Linked DNA regions of Schizosaccharomyces pombe. Each later gene encodes a partner of the first gene's protein in a complex. Links are inferred from orthologs where the notes say so. Each region holds a gene or a part of one and is shown in the gene's direction. Other genes may lie near its edges.

Region 1 (4,307 bases):
AGAGGCATGGTTGTCACCACCCTCAGATTGAATGGGCTCAATGATACAGGCAACGACAGGGCAATGGTGGTTAGTTAAAATTTGCTCGACCTGGTCAATGCAGCGTTGCTCCTCCTTTGCATTCTCTTCGACGTGCTCTTCCAAAGGATACTTCAAAGCAGGGAAATCAGCTTGAGGCCATGGGAAAGCAGGCATACCAAGCTTGTGAACAGGCTTGGAGCGAGTAGTGGAAAGAGAACCAAAGAGACGTCCGTGGAAAGAGTGACGGAAAGAGAGAACAGCAACTTCGGGAGATCCAGGAGCAGCGTTGTTTAAGCAGCTCTCGTTCTCTTCAGCAGTGTAATCACCAGTAGGTCTAGGCTTGTTGTTGAAATGATGAAGCATAGCAAGCTTGTAAGCAATCTCGTTGGCATCACTTCCACTCATTTGAAAGTAAACATACTTTTGACCCTTGGGGGCATATTTGATGGCACCCTCATAAGCGACACGAGCCCATTCCTTAGGAGGGTAATTTCCCAAAGCAGGACGGTTCATTAAAATGGTAGCGACTTCGTCCGACTTGGCAGCCTTGAGGAGAGTAGGATTGTTGTAGCCAATGGGGATAGTAGCGATTTGAGAGTAAACATCCAAGAGAACGTTACCATCCAAGTCGACAAGATAGTTACCAATGGACTTTTCATAGTCTACAGGAAACTTGACAGCGCTGATGTCGTGGTATTTGGACATTTCTTCAGCAGCGGCCTTACCTTTGGGACCGGGAATAGTTTCGGTCTTAATGCTAGGGCCTTGAGGCTCATTGGGAAAAAAATGAGTGCTTTCAGTAACGGTGGCAGTAGAAGACATGTTGAATAGAAAAGTATAGTCTAAATGGAGGAGAACCTTAACTTAAGGCAGTAGAAAGTAAAATTAAAAAAATAAAAATAAAAAATAAAAACAAATGTTTACAATGAAACTCTTTTGCTAAGTTCTATGCAAAAGCAGGAAAAAAAAGAAACAAAAAAACAAAAACCTCAAAATGTGAATGATAATACTTTGTTTTTTAAAAAAAGATGCTGTTTTCGTAGGAAATCGCTTTCCTTTTATAATTCGTCTCGCACGACAAATTTCCAACTTTTGATTGCGGATTTTAACCTTCTCAATTACAATCTATGCTCGGGCAACATTTCCTAAACTTCCCATATCCAGCTCGCTAAGCGGTGATAGATAAAAAATGTGGTCGGTACACTTGGCCATCGGCAACCGATACCAATTTGCAAGGCAAACGATTTTCTATGGGGATATTCGGATGATCGAAAGAAACAATAGACGAAACTCATGATTTCATCTGCGACTTTGCATCCTTCAGAAGGTTGGCAAAAACGAACATCGAGGTATCATTGTAGATGTAAATGAATGTGCATGGACAATTCTGATGAATATGTTCAAAAAATTATCAATCACGATGGGCAAAAGGAAAAAATTTCACGGAGATAGCAAAACGCTCGGATTGCCTTTGAAAGGATGAGTGGAAAATAAATCTTTAGATTTTTATTAAGTTAAAGAGAAAATCACTTTTTTTATCAGTTGGGATTGAAACGTTTGGGACAAACGGTAGGCGGTTTTAGCACAGGTGGCCAAGATATGCATGCGTATAATTTAGATTTTTTCATCTTTGACATTAGCGATACTAAAGCGTTTCGATACGAAAACGTTGCGATACAAAAACGTTAAGAATATTGTTTAACTAATGGTTTTTGATCCATGGGTTTATACCACATAGTCAATTAATAAGTACTTGTTTTCAAAGTGTCACAAAAACATCTGGGATATTAAGAGTGAATATGAGGTGGAAATAGTAAATTCTAATGCGTCCCCTTCATGAAATACATTTCCTTTTCTCTTTCAAAATTACCCTACATTTGTAGCTTCTACCAAATTACTTTTCTAATAACAAATCGTTTGTATTTCTCTTTCCTTTGCTTCCCTGTAGAATAACGCACTAGGGGGGTTTGATGACACGCTATATAGCAATTTATAAGTTATTGTCTAAAATGTTTACAACCATTCCTCGTTTGATATTTGACGAAAGGTTCGACGATCGCTTCAAGTCACTAACACTCCATAATTTAGCTTGACCAAGCTTGATCAATCTTTGGACTGATAATTTTTTGATAATCTTAGGTTAGCGTGAATGAATTGCGCGTCATAATAATAAGTTAACGTGATCAAAGGGATTGCAAATCACCACTTAACATATTAAAACTTGTAATCCTAATGTATATTTACGTGCAGTCATTGATATTTGTTATATAATGATAGCAGAGCTAAATGTACACGGTATATAAAATAAAGATAAGAATGGTAAAGCACATAAACTAGTAGATAACGTTTTACATTAATTTTTAGTCAGCGTCTCTTTTCTTTATCCAAATTGTAATTAGCATTTTCAATAGTCATCTTGCCGTATTGTATTCTATCGCATTGTGTTATTCGGTACAAGGTAGAATCTTAGGTAGCTCCACCACCAATTTCGTGCACGACAGCACAATTGGTGTAAAATCCAGTTGGTCGAGACATTTAATTCATGGTATCAATATCTTTTCTTTTTCCATCTCTCTTTTTCTAATATTTCTGACTATTCCCTTGTTTGACATTGGGTAAACCACATCTGCTTTTTCTCTTTGCACTCTTTACCATAATATTCCAAGTCTATGCGTACATTGCTGTTGAAATCTTTGAACTTCATTCAGTTTTATTTCGTCGTGCTTCATGCTTCGTGAATTTTCGTTTTACGATGTGCCTCCTGCTCACGTGCCACCGGTTTCGGAGCCTTTGGAAATTGCCTGTTATAGTTTATCGAGAGATCGCGAACTGCTGCTTGATGATAGCAAGTTAAGTTATTATTATCCTCCACCGTTATTTTCCGATCTGAACACGGGATTTCCTAATAGGTTTCACCCTCCTAAATCCGACCCTGATCCTATTTCTATTGTAAAGGACGTGCTCATGACTAAAGGCATTCAGATGAATTCCAGCTTTCTTACTTGGCGTGGTTTAATTACAAAAATTATGTGCGCTCCTTTGGATCCCAGAAACCATTGGGAAACTTATCTGGTTATGGATCCCACCAGTGGAATTATTATGATGGAAGAGCGAACTCGATCGGAAACTAGTTATGCCAACCAAGACCGAATGTGTTACTGGGGTTATAAGTTTGAAGCCATTTCCACACTTCCGGAAATATGGGATGCTTGTTCGAGAGACCAAATTGAGCAACGTGACAACCAAGATGTTGTGCCCGACGAGCAGTATTGCTCCATTGTCAAGATCAATATCGGCAAGTCAAAATTGATACTCGCAGGCGAGGTCGATTGTATTTGGGACAAAAAGCCCTGCAGTGCTAAAGAAAGCGATGTTCATAGTGATGATGGAACAATTGAAGAAGATGCATCCAATGCCGAAAATCCCAACCTGCATTACGTTGAGCTCAAGACCTCCAAAAAGTACCCCCTTGAGAACTATGGAATGAGAAAAAAGCTATTAAAGTACTGGGCACAAAGTTTTTTATTAGGAATTGGTCGTATTATAATTGGATTTCGCGATGATAATGGCATCTTAATAGAAATGAAGGAACTTTTTACGCATCAAATACCTAAAATGTTGCGCCCTTACTTCAAACCAAATGATTGGACTCCCAATCGTCTCTTGGTAGTTCTTGAGCATGCGTTAGAATGGATTAAGCAAACCGTAAAGCAACATCCCCCTTCAACCGAGTTTACACTTTCTTATACTGGCGGTTCCAAACTTGTTTTACGACAAATAATTTAAATCTATTAATTTTGTAAAATAATAAAAAAGTAGGGTTATACACTAGATGTTTTCTAAGCTTATTGCATTTAATACAAACTCATTTTCTTATGTACTCTTTCTTTCATCTCCACTATACCTAGATGACACTGCTATTTAGCGCAAACTAATATTTCAAAAATTGATATCAACCAAAGTATTTCTCTAGGATACTAAAGGGTAGATAGATGTCAGAAATCCGTCTTATAAGAGCAATTAATGATGAGCTTTACCTCGTTGAGGTTCAAGCGACATTGGAAAGAAAAGCAGATTCGTTGCATATAGGAGATTTAAAAATCATTAAAGTATGAATCGAAATTTTAAACTAGTTTTGTTTTTCTAACTAATATCTAGGAAAAAAACTCCGAAAAGAAAAAAGCTACACTTACTGTTGGCAATCAGTATATGGAGGGCGTGGTTGAATCGTTGAAAAAACCACTAGCTGTTTTGCAAAAGACGAACGCTGATCCTGTCGATGTCTA
Region 2 (4,264 bases), on another chromosome or scaffold:
CGAAAATTCCACCTAGTTTAGTGTTTGCCCATTCATCTATCCAGCGTGGAAATTGTACTTCTCCCGATTGTTCTTCAGAAATTTCCCTTTCAATCGCTAACTTTTTCCATCCTTGTAGCCTTTCATTGCATTCAATTTCATATTTCATTTTACGATCTCATTCCTCAATATATTTTTTTCAAGTGCTTCTCTTTTGTTTTCGTCAATTTCTAACAATGTAGAATCTACAGATCTCTCGTATCTTTCAATGAAAATTTTTAAATCTTCCGCAGAATCATTTGGTGGTGGCAGATTGTAGTCATTATCAAAATTCTCGTTCGACATCATCCTTATTATTTATACAAAACCAGTTGCAATAAACCGCAGTATTCTTTTTAACGATAAAATTTCAATTCACTATAACTATACAAATGATATCTTTTGTAGCCTGCCTTATATGTTTACTAATTGACAAATATTTCTCAGAAAGGGAAATCTTGGAAAATAAAAGTACAAACGTGTGTTGAAAGCAATATTTAATATATGTGTTGTAAGTAAATTCAAATCTCTCAAGTTCCCCTTATATACAACTTTAAACAAAGAATGCTAAGGACAAAGAAAAGAGTTTTTGATGGATTAAGAAACAAGGTAACCTAAGTAACTTCACACTGGGAGTACGTGATACAGATAATGAAAATGGGCTTTATCTGTAAAATAAAAGAAAAATGGCTTATTTGCAGGTAACTTATTACAAAGTTAGATTTATTGAATAGAGGAGTATTTGTTTAAAAACAAACTTCGATTGCAAACATGCATAACAAAGTTAATAGAAAAACATTTCTTTATCCTGCTTTATTGTATTCCTCTTAAGGGATTCTCAACAGCTCTAAATAATCACGAAATATTTAAAGAAAAGGTATATTACTCATTCAAGCTATTAATTGTAAATAATATAACCCATAGCTACAACAAATGCGTTAAGAGGATATAATGTTAGCTACGCAAGTATTTAATTTAACGATACGTAGAACTACGGTGTTTTCCTAGTGATCTATTATATTGTAATTCGCAAGTAATATATAAGTAGCAATTGAGATTGGTATTCTAATATATGGGTTATATTGTTGAATAGATGAATGAGCAAATACAAGACTTGAAAAGTCCTTCAATGATATATTTCTGGTATAGAGTGTTGGCGAAACGACATGAATTCTGAGTTTGACGCTACGCAGAATGAGATTGCATCCATTAAGTTGAAATAACTACTATGAAAGGTGAAATGACTATCATTGGCAGAAAATGAACATTAGTTTTATACGTTGACATTCTTACGGCACTTTTTATTTACAATTTTGCTTACTACTAGTCATCCCGTTTTAACTTTGTTCTTAGGAGTTAATTTATTTTACTTTATTCATTTATTTTTTTATTTTTTTTGAAACTCGTATTATCGTTCAATTTCAGAACATCTTTACTGCTTTGCCTGCCCGGTTGACAAATAAATACGATTTCAAACGAACAATTAGTTTATTATATAATTTTTTACGTAAGTATATGCCATAGTTTATAGTAATACAAGGGAAGCAAAAACAAAGTCTCAATGCGGTGAGTAGTATATAGTAATTCCTGCTTCAGACAAGTCATTAAAACACACATTTGCACTCCGTACACATTTCTCAACACGCCGAATAGTTTCTTTTCATAATCCCCAACATATAACATCACAAGATTTCGTCTAGCATTCTTACCAAAACTCGTACTGTAAATGTTACAGTGAGTGATAGCCGTTAGCTAAGATGACCTGCTGAGACTAAACAAAATCATGAGAAAACGAATAATGTATTTTATATACCTAATATTTAAGAGGGAATCTTGGAGAAAACTGGGTAGTTTGAGAATAATAAATGTTCTTTTCCATCTTTACAAATGAGACGAAGATTTTTGCTCTACCCAAACTAATTAATCTGTTGTTTCAAAATCATTTTAAGTATAGGCTATAATGTAAAACATTGATATTATACAAGAAGTATTTATTACTTATGCTTATGATTTCGTTTGCGATGCTAACAGCAGTGTGTCGTAAGAAACTCACCATCAGCATAAAACAAGATGGCTTTGACTCCAGACACTGTTTCTTCAAAGTTGGCTACTCTAAATGAAACACAAGAAAGTATAACGGGAATAGCGCATTGGGTTATGTTTCACAAGCGTTATGCTGATGAAATTGTCCAAATATGGCTGGAAGCTTTGTATGAATGTATGACTCCTTTAGGAATTTGTTCGATTGTCTAACTAATTTAACCAGCTTCTTCCAACAAAAAGCTTTTATTGCTTTACCTGCTCAACGAAGTCGTTCAACAATCCCGGGTCAAAAAAATATCTGAATATATTGATGCCGTTTCTCCAGTAAGTTACTATCATTATGAGCTTGGAACATCTCCTATATGGTTTAGATTCTAATAATATTTGCATAGTATGTCGTAAACTCTGTAGCTGACGCGTACGCGTCAGTTCCTGCTTCCATTAAAACAAAAATCAAATACGTTTTTGACGTTTGGTGTCAACGCGGCATATTTTCTAAGGAGATACTTTTATCCTTGCAGGAAAGGTTTAATAATGCCGAGAACAGTGGCCATTCTAACTATTACCCCGTTGGCCCTCCGGAATGGGTATGCCGCAATTCAAATAAAATATCAGAACTTTACTAATTGCATAGGCACCTTACACTCGTTTAATGACACAAACTAGTTTATACGCAAAATCTGCTCACTCTACCAAAACTGTGGTAGATGCATTGTATAAATCATACTTGGAGAAACAATCAGATTATTCTGAACTACTCGATAATTATAAAAAGCAACTAAATAAAGCCTCTGAATCATGTAAAGGTAATTATCAGGCTTGCATCGAATCCCGATCCACACTCATTACTTCCTTGGAATCGCTTATAGAAGAACAAAAAAAGCTACTTTCAGAGGAAGAAGAGAGCCTAAAATCTGTTGAATCCATAATTTCTAATTTAGAGAATAAGGAAAGTACAACAGCTACCTCTACCTTGACCGATGCAGGTTTTGGAGATAAAAGTTCTACTGCTGGCAAACATAATGTAGAAACAACATCACCTCCGTCTAGTTCTCCAAACAGTGATGATGCTTATTCTCCTCAAGTAGATTCTTACTCTCCAAGCATTAACAGCGTACCATATACTTCCAATATTGTCGAAAATCCATCTGAAGACAATCTCTCTCCTCTTCCTCCTCCTGCCAGTGGACCCTATTCCCAAGAAGAAGAAGAAACATCATTATTTAAAAGCCAGAGAAAAGAAGAAAATGAAGAGGAATCTAAAGAATTACCAGAAGACTCAGATATCTATGGAAAAGATAGTTCTCCCTCTTCGGACGACTCTAGTGCAGCTGGTCTATATGGTGATAGCTGAAATCCATGAAATGTAATGCTTAGTTTTCATTATTTTTCTTTTTTTTTTTAAACTGTCAATCAATGTGGCAGTCTTAGTCAATAAGCATTTTTAGAATACCTATCCTAACCTTTTATATGCGTCAGTACCTGACTTCATCCTATCGAAGCCGTTTTTGGAATTTTGTATATTTCGAAGAAAGTTGAGCCCTATCTAGGAAGAATGGGCTTTTAATGTCTGAAAAAAAACATTCTTGCGAAGAAAAATCGCTGCAACTATATCCTCTTTCAAATAAAATTCGTCATGTAAATCCGAATATTTCAGCTCTTCCGTCTGAGACTGATATATCTGAATCATTGACGAACGATTTAACTAAACTAGAAATTTCTAACTATGCTCCATTTAATAGAGATTTAGAGACTTTTTCCGATTTAATTTTTGGCTTAACTAATATACAAAAAAAATCATTGTATTCTCTTCAATTAGGCAGAAGTAGAGGATATGCTTTATATTCAGACGAGAATGAGAAATATTTGTGGTCTATAAATACTAAAATCACCTCTACGGAACAAAGGGAAGTACTGCTTGTCAAATCTAATAATAAGAAGTTTGATACTTCCATCGTCCTAAAACATACTCACTTATCATCCAAGTCTCAAAACGAAAAAAAAGCTAGAGTAAAAGTATTTCGGCAAGAAATTTGGGCCCTCAAAACTTTGTCGCATCCATGTGTTGTGCAGCTATTAAATTACTACGTTTCCTCCGCCGAATTAATACTCGTAGAGAATTATTGTATGGGAGGAGATCTCTATCATTACACTAAAAAACATCATTCGGATTTCAGCCTTGAATTTGTTGGGCGAATTTTTT
Region 3 (7,539 bases), 1.9 Mb from region 1:
AATATCCAACTCAAAGATGGCTTACTAATTAACAGTAAAGACCAAATCTTATTACCTAATGATACTCAGCTGACTAGGACAATTATTAAAAAGTATCATGAAGAAGGTAAATTGATTCATCCAGGCATTGAACTTCTTACAAACATTATATTACGTAGATTTACGTGGAAAGGAATAAGAAAACAAATACAAGAATATGTACAGAACTGCCATACATGTCAAATAAACAAATCTAGGAATCATAAACCTTATGGACCTTTACAACCAATTCCCCCATCAGAAAGACCTTGGGAATCTTTATCAATGGATTTTATTACAGCTTTACCAGAATCATCTGGTTATAATGCACTTTTCGTGGTAGTTGACCGATTTTCAAAAATGGCAATCTTAGTACCTTGTACGAAATCCATTACAGCAGAGCAAACAGCTCGAATGTTTGATCAACGAGTTATTGCTTATTTCGGCAATCCAAAAGAAATCATTGCAGATAATGATCATATTTTTACTTCCCAAACGTGGAAAGATTTCGCACATAAATATAATTTCGTTATGAAATTTTCGTTACCATACAGACCACAAACTGATGGACAAACTGAGCGTACAAACCAAACTGTGGAGAAATTACTAAGATGTGTATGTAGCACACATCCAAATACATGGGTAGATCATATATCCCTAGTGCAACAATCTTACAACAATGCGATACATTCAGCAACTCAAATGACACCTTTTGAGATAGTACATCGCTATTCACCAGCTTTATCACCTTTAGAGTTACCTAGCTTTAGTGACAAAACTGACGAAAACTCTCAGGAAACGATCCAAGTATTTCAAACAGTTAAAGAACACTTGAATACAAACAACATAAAGATGAAAAAGTATTTCGATATGAAAATACAAGAAATTGAAGAATTTCAACCTGGAGACCTAGTTATGGTCAAAAGAACGAAAACAGGTTTTCTTCATAAATCCAATAAATTAGCACCTAGTTTTGCAGGACCGTTCTATGTGTTACAGAAGTCGGGTCCAAACAACTATGAATTGGATCTTCCAGATTCAATCAAGCACATGTTTTCATCTACTTTTCATGTTTCTCACCTAGAAAAGTATCGACATAATTCAGAACTCAATTACGCTACCATTGATGAGTCTGATATTGGAACAATTCTTCATATCCTAGAACATAAAAACAGAGAACAAGTACTCTACTTAAATGTCAAGTACATTTCGAATCTAAATCCGAGTACTATTATGTCAGGATGGACTACATTAGCTACAGCGCTACAAGCGGACAAAGCAATTGTCAATGATTATATTAAAAACAATAATCTAAATATCTGAGAACATATGACTTATCCTCAGATTTACATAGAAAATCTTGGGGAGGGCAATGTCAGCAATACTACACTACGCTATAATACACTACGTTGAGTATCACTATATGTCACATGTTCTAATTATATATCGTACCATGTATGATACGATATGGAGATTGATCTTAATGATAATCTATTAAGATCAATATTATCTGAATACTATAAATAGAGCTACTGCTGAACCTCGTTCCTCAGTTCAGTTATGAGCTATATTAGTGATAGGTAACATTATAACCCAGTTAATACAATACCTATACTCAGTTGCTACTTATACAACCTGTGTATTGTAATATAATAGATCACAAGGAAAACTCACCGCAGTTCTACGTATCCTTAAATCAGATACCAAACTGCGTAGCTTACACTTAAGAGACTAGATTTTAACTATTGTATAGCGAGTACGTTAGTAATTTCCAATTTACTCCAATGTGCGTTAAAAAATTTAGGTAGGACTGCGGAGACTACGCTAGATCTAGATTAAAATACCTAAATATTAAATCTTCAACTTATACTACACTCGTAGTCTTTAGTATCTAAAATTTACCAATTTGGGCTTTTTTGAAGCATTTGGTTTGGAGAAGATTTATTCGATTGAGTATTTTCTCCTTTACACCAAAAAATGGGTGTTCCAGCACTTTTCCGCCTTTTGTCGAGGAAATTCGCAAAGGTCATTACACCTGTTATTGAGGCTCCTACTGAAAAGCTTCCAGATGGTACTGAAATTGAACCAGATTTAAGTCTTCCCAATCCAAACGGAGTGGAATGCGACAACTTGTATTTGGATATGAATGGTATTGTTCATCCTTGTTCCCATCCTGAAGATCGCCCCGCTCCAGAGACTGAAGACGAGATGATGGTTGCTGTCTTTGAATACACGGATCGTATTCTTGCCATGGTTCGTCCTCGTCAGTTATTGTTCATTGCAATCGATGGCGTGGCTCCTAGAGCCAAAATGAATCAGCAGAGATCACGTCGTTTTCGTTCTTCTCGTGAAGCAGCTCTCAAAGAAGAAGAATTACAAGCCTTCATTGAGGAGGCAAAACAACAGGGAATTCCCATCGACGAAAACGCTACGAAGAAAAAATCTTGGGACAGTAATTGCATTACCCCCGGCACACCTTTCATGGACACTTTGGCCAAGTCTCTTCGTTACTACATAATAAATAAACTAAATAGTGATCCGTGCTGGAGAAATGTCAGATTTATACTTTCTGACGCCTCGGTTCCTGGTGAAGGTGAGCATAAGATCATGGAATTTATTCGATCTCAACGAGTGAAACCAGAGTATGATCCAAATACACACCACGTTGTTTACGGTTTAGATGCAGACCTAATTATGCTTGGTTTGGCTACTCATGAACCCCATTTTCGTGTATTGCGTGAAGATGTCTTCTTTCAACAAGGAAGTACTAAAAAGACAAAGGAAGAGCGTCTTGGCATCAAGAGACTTGATGATGTTTCTGAGACCAATAAGGTTCCTGTAAAAAAACCATTTATATGGCTCAACGTTAGCATTTTGAGGGAGTATCTAGAAGTGGAACTTTATGTCCCCAATTTACCTTTTCCATTTGACTTAGAACGTGCGATTGACGACTGGGTCTTCTTTATCTTTTTTGTGGGTAATGATTTTCTTCCTCATTTGCCTAGTTTAGATATTCGTGATGGTGCCGTAGAGCGGTTGACTGAAATATGGCGAGCTAGTCTTCCGCACATGGGTGGTTATCTTACTTTGGATGGTTCTGTTAATTTAGCTCGTGCTGAAGTCATTCTGAGTGCTGTAGGTAACCAGGAAGATGATATTTTTAAGCGTCTTAAACAGCAAGAAGATCGTCGTAACGAAAACTATAGACGCCGTCAACAACGCGAGTCAAATCAGGAATCAGAATCTTATGTTGACAACGTCGTAATTCAGCGTTCAGTTGAGACGCAATCGACAGAAGTTGTTACCTCTTCTAAATCAACTTCTGTTGATACTAAACCGCCAAAGAAAACTCAAAAAATTGACGCTCCGGCTCCAGTGGATTTGGTTAATTTGTCTGAAAAAACTTCAAATCGATCTCTAGGCGCTACTAATAGAGAATTAATTAATAATCGCGCTGCTAACCGTCTTGGACTTTCTAGGGAAGCAGCTGCTGTTTCTTCAGTTAACAAATTGGCGGCCTCTGCATTGAAAGCTCAGTTGGTTTCAAATGAGACACTACAAAATGTTCCTTTGGAAGACAGCATAGCTTCATCCAGTGCATATGAAGATACCGATAGTATTGAATCTAGTACCCCTGTTGTACATCCAATAGACACAAAAGTTTCAAATGTGGGTCAGAAGAGAAAGGCCCCAGATTCGACTGAAGAAAATGAAAATACTGATACAGTCCGCCTGTATGAGCCTGGATACCGCGAACGGTATTATGAACAAAAATTCCACATTTCACCCGATGAACCAGAAAAAATTCGTGAAGCTGTTAAACATTATGTTCATGGATTGTGCTGGGTTCTTTTGTATTATTATCAAGGCTGTCCATCTTGGACCTGGTATTATCCATATCATTATGCTCCTTTTGCCGCTGATTTCAAAGATTTGGCCTCCATAGATGTAAAATTTGAACTAAATCAACCCTTCAAGCCTTACGAACAATTACTAGGCGTTTTACCTGCTGCTAGTAAAAATAATTTACCTGAAAAATTGCAAACTCTTATGACTGATGAAAACTCTGAAATTATTGACTTTTACCCGGAAAATTTTACTATTGATTTAAACGGGAAAAAATTTGAATGGCAGGGAGTTGCTCTTTTACCATTTATAGATGAAAATCGGCTTTTGAATGCTGTATCAAAAATCTATCCTCAACTTACCGAGGAAGAGTCAAAAAGAAATGAGGATGGTTCTACTTTATTATTTATTTCTGAACATCATCCAATGTTTAGCGAACTTGTCAAACAACTTTACTCCAAGAAACGTCAAGGTAAACCACTTAAGTTATCCGGAAAGATGGCACATGGATTGTTTGGCAAAGTTAACACCAATGATTCCGTAATTCCCAATGTATCCGTTCAATGCCCAATTGATGTTACATCCGCTGACGCCCTTCAGAAGTATGGAAGCATAGATGATAATCAATCTATAAGTCTTGTGTTTGAAGTACCTAAATCGCATTTCGTACATAAATCCATGCTTTTAAGGGGAGTGAAAATGCCGAACAGGGTGTTAACCCCAGAAGATATCAACCAAGTACGTGCAGAGAGGAGCTTTTCTTCCCGCCGAAACAATGGTAATTCGTATCGTGGAGGACACCAAAGTTATGGTGTCCGACGCTCTTACCAATCGCAAAGTTACAGTAGTCGACAGAGCTACACTGGAGTTACTAATGGTTTTGCAAACGGTGGAGTTCAACCTCCTTGGTCTGGTAATGGCAATTTTCCTCGTTCTAATGCAAGCTATAACTCTCGCGGCGGCCACGAAGGATACGGCGGGCGCTCGAGAGGTGGTGGTTATTCGAATGGACCGCCAGCTGGTAACCACTATAGTAGTAATCGCGGAAAGGGTTACGGCTATCAGCGAGAATCCTATAACAATAATAACAGGAATGGCTACTATTAATACATTTAAGTTTTCTTAGTACAATTTTGAAAGCGGGTTTGGGATATTGGAGATAAATAATATATCTGATTATTTGAATTTCATTGGCACATTGCATAATTAGTTATGCAATTCAGTTACAAAATGCATGTTGATAACATAAAATTATACTCAACAACTATACCGATCTATTCCTCTTTCTTAAGAGCAGGTAATACTTCTGAATAAACATCAAAGCGGCGTTGAGTATAGATAGGAACGCTGTTTCGAGCGGTAGACATGACAGAGGGATCAATATCTGCGTAAACGATAGACGGTTTTTCATCAGTAGTAGCAATAACTTTTCCGAAAGGGTCTACAACAGTAGAATGTCCCCATGAATGATAGTCAGCGTTCATATCTCTAGCAGGGGCACAGCAAGCAACGAACATCTCATTATCAACTGCTCGGGCTCGTGCAAGTAGTTCCCAATGTAAAGGGCCTGTGGACAAATTAAATGCTCCAGGGTAAATCATCACACTACAGCCATTTCTAGCTGCTATCATAGCGAGTTCCGGAAATCGTATATCGTAACAAATACCCAAACCAAACTTCCCGTATTCAGTGTCAACCATAGTCATGGCGTCGCCAGGTGAAAGACTATCAGATTCGCGGAAGCTAACTCCACCAGGAATGTCAATATCGAATAAATGAATTTTCCGATGAACGGCTATCAATTTTCCAGAAGGATCAAACACCATTGCAGTGTTGTATAATTTGCCATCCTTGCGTTCAGGAATAGAACCGCCAAATAAGTAAGTCTTAGTATCCTACAGTACCGTTAGTCTCACATAATCAACGAAAATTAAATTAACAAACCTTTGCCATAGAGGATAAAGCTTGGTAAGAAGGAGATGATTCCTCTATAGGTTCAGCATACTGATTAAAGTAACCAGTACCATATGGTGAATTGAAAATTTCTGGTAATACAATGACATTAGAACCGTTTTTAGCGGCTTCCAATACTTTTAAACGAGCGAGTTGTAAATTTTCGCTCTTGTCTTTGGTATTGGCAAGCTGAACCAAGCCAATACGAAAAGCACGAAAATCTTTAGGAACCAGAGATGAAGCTGAGACAGACATGATGTTCCTTGTATAGCAAAAATTTAATGAAGGAAAAAAGGATCTTGTGCCTTTTTGAACGAGTCCAAAAAATTTACTGTTCATATAAACAATCACCGACTTGAAATTTTAGGTGAAGGAAGAGGAATGAGTAGAAAGCAAAGATACGAGGGAAGATGTCCTGATTTGTAGGCTAGTCTCAGAATATCTAGCTTGCGATAATTTTGAGCTCCAAAATATTATATTCCTGAAATCTCAATGTAACTTATTAAGCACGTGGCTAGCGAAATCCTCCAATCCAAATTACACCTTGTTATCAAAAAGAAATTTAGCAAGGTGATCAAACTTCCATGTCTTTGATAAGAAGAATGTCGACATCAAACTAGTTTTCAATCTATTGTAAATCTAAAGAAGAAAAAGGGATTTACATTCAAGCAGCAACTACACAAATAGAAATCGTTGTTTGAATGTTACGGAAGGCAAGACCAAAAAAATTGTTTTTGTTTATCTACAAGTTACAAAAGAATGATATTTATTACTGTGTCAACTAGTTTATAGGTAATGATAATATCGTCTGTCATTTTTAGAAAAAGGGGATTCAATTACTATAGATATTCAGTTGTTCCGAATGTGTTGAAAAATAAAATCTTAAGCGTCTTCGTTTCGCAAAAGAAGAAAATAAATGTTATAATAGCTCGAATGAACTGTTTGGCATACATGTTAATTTCACGTATATTGAATATTGATCTTGTTCAATAACAAATGAACTTATGGCATGCATAAGATCCATCAATCGAGAAGAGCCTAAAAATCGCATTTGAATGCGTATTTAAAGAAAGAATAGCTGTATCCTTAGTCAAAAAATTTTGTATTGAAAGAAAAAAGATTAAGAGTATAATGAAAATAAAGAGGAAAAGAAAGTTCGAAAACCAAAAGATGACCAAGAAAATAATGAGTAAATTACGTTGTTTAGCAAACAACCAAAATAAATTGCAATAATAAATTATAGAATTAACACATGATCCGAATAAGAGTAAAGCTGTGGAGATTAATAAGCTCTCCATTCAAATTCGTTGCGCTTCAAATCATGGAATTCACGGAAATCCGAAATGAAATGACACCTGAATAGATATTGAAATAGATGGTAAAAAGAAAGAATGAATTCGATTGGAAAAATGAACATAAAAGATGATTTGATGCAAAAAGTAAAAATGCTTCTCCCTACTCTTTCAAATACTTTGTAAATTGTTTTTGCGAAAGATATGATTGCATATCTGGACTTACATGCTCCGACAACTGTTCGGAGTCAGGAAGCAATAACCCATTCATGAATAAAAGTTCCAAGAGATGTAACTTACTAGTATCACGAGTAACCGCTTTTAAAAACACCACTCCATTCTCTTCAAAATTTGGTTTGGCGGCTAAACCTAGTAATATTTTGGAGATTTTATTTTGCTCCAAACCCTCCAATAAAGTAGCATCAGCATC

Evidence for each region.
Region 2: the proteins of din1 (region 1) and rhn1 are in contact, whole or in part, in a cryo-EM structure (PDB 8YF5), measured with the Komagataella phaffii proteins. The link is inferred for Schizosaccharomyces pombe from one-to-one orthologs. Residues at the interface, in XP_002490393.1 of Komagataella phaffii: Ser62, Lys63, His64, Phe65, Leu66, Leu67, Gln147, Lys154, Lys186, Lys188, Cys189; in XP_002490270.1 of Komagataella phaffii: Gln19, Tyr59, Asn62, Gln66, Arg105, Val109, Gln112, Arg113, Lys114.
Region 3: the proteins of din1 (region 1) and dhp1 are in contact, whole or in part, in a crystal structure (PDB 3FQD), measured with the Schizosaccharomyces pombe proteins. Residues at the interface, in NP_594904.1 of Schizosaccharomyces pombe: Tyr45 (codon at 2,881), Tyr46 (codon at 2,884), Pro47 (codon at 2,887), Ile158 (codon at 3,220), Trp159 (codon at 3,223), Asp160 (codon at 3,226), Ala161 (codon at 3,229), Cys162 (codon at 3,232), Ser163 (codon at 3,235), Arg164 (codon at 3,238), Ile167 (codon at 3,247), Glu168 (codon at 3,250), Trp204 (codon at 3,358), Asp205 (codon at 3,361), Lys206 (codon at 3,364), Glu231 (codon at 3,439), His236 (codon at 3,454), Glu288 (codon at 3,610); in NP_594155.1 of Schizosaccharomyces pombe: Arg218 (codon at 2,647), Val219 (codon at 2,650), Pro221 (codon at 2,656), Glu222 (codon at 2,659), Asp318 (codon at 2,947), Arg321 (codon at 2,956), Leu371 (codon at 3,106), Asp372 (codon at 3,109), Lys789 (codon at 4,360), Ser843 (codon at 4,522), Phe845 (codon at 4,528), Val846 (codon at 4,531), His847 (codon at 4,534), Lys848 (codon at 4,537), Ser849 (codon at 4,540), Met850 (codon at 4,543), Leu851 (codon at 4,546), Leu852 (codon at 4,549), Arg853 (codon at 4,552), Gly854 (codon at 4,555), Lys856 (codon at 4,561).

Annotation. Positions count from the first base shown.
Region 1 is NC_003424.3:5,219,720-5,224,026, reverse strand, and holds din1 (RNA NAD-cap (NAD-forming) hydrolase/RNA pyrophosphohydrolase Din1), read left to right. Parts: upstream 1-2,640; 5' UTR 2,641-2,748; coding exon 2,749-3,807; downstream 3,808-4,307. Other genes in the region: uga1 (4-aminobutyrate aminotransferase (GABA transaminase)), read right to left, coding at 1-843; SPOM_SPAC19D5.10C (uncharacterized protein), read left to right, coding at 2,308-2,316, 2,386-2,640; DNA replication factor C complex subunit Ctf8, read left to right, coding at 4,014-4,130, 4,180-4,307. UniProt on the Schizosaccharomyces pombe protein: Decapping enzyme for NAD-capped RNAs: specifically hydrolyzes the nicotinamide adenine dinucleotide (NAD) cap from a subset of RNAs by removing the entire NAD moiety from the 5'-end of an NAD-capped RNA.
Region 2 is NC_003423.3:1,033,450-1,037,713, forward strand, and holds rhn1 (RNA polymerase II transcription termination factor), read left to right. Parts: upstream 1-2,072; 5' UTR 2,073-2,088; coding exon 2,089-2,236; exon of another isoform or gene 2,237-2,284; coding exon 2,285-2,385; exon of another isoform or gene 2,386-2,453; coding exon 2,454-2,648; intron 2,649-2,695; coding exon 2,696-3,415; downstream 3,416-4,264. Other genes in the region: serine/threonine protein kinase Ppk27, read left to right, coding at 3,628-4,264.
Region 3 is NC_003424.3:3,355,349-3,362,887, reverse strand, and holds dhp1 (5'-3' exoribonuclease Dhp1), read left to right. Parts: upstream 1-1,884; 5' UTR 1,885-1,995; coding exon 1,996-4,971; 3' UTR 4,972-5,138; coding exon of another isoform or gene 5,139-5,759; 3' UTR 5,760-5,808; coding exon of another isoform or gene 5,809-6,156; 3' UTR 6,157-6,744; downstream 6,745-7,539. Other genes in the region: Tf2-4 (retrotransposable element/transposon Tf2-type), read left to right, coding at 1-1,341; SPOM_SPAC26A3.11 (mitochondrial omega-amidase), read right to left, coding at 5,139-5,759, 5,809-6,156; cnt6 (centaurin ADOP ribosylation factor GTPase-activating protein), read right to left, coding at 7,273-7,539. UniProt on the Schizosaccharomyces pombe protein: Possesses 5'->3' exoribonuclease activity. Required for the processing of nuclear mRNA and rRNA precursors. May promote the termination of transcription by RNA polymerase II. Essential for vegetative cell growth and chromosome segregation.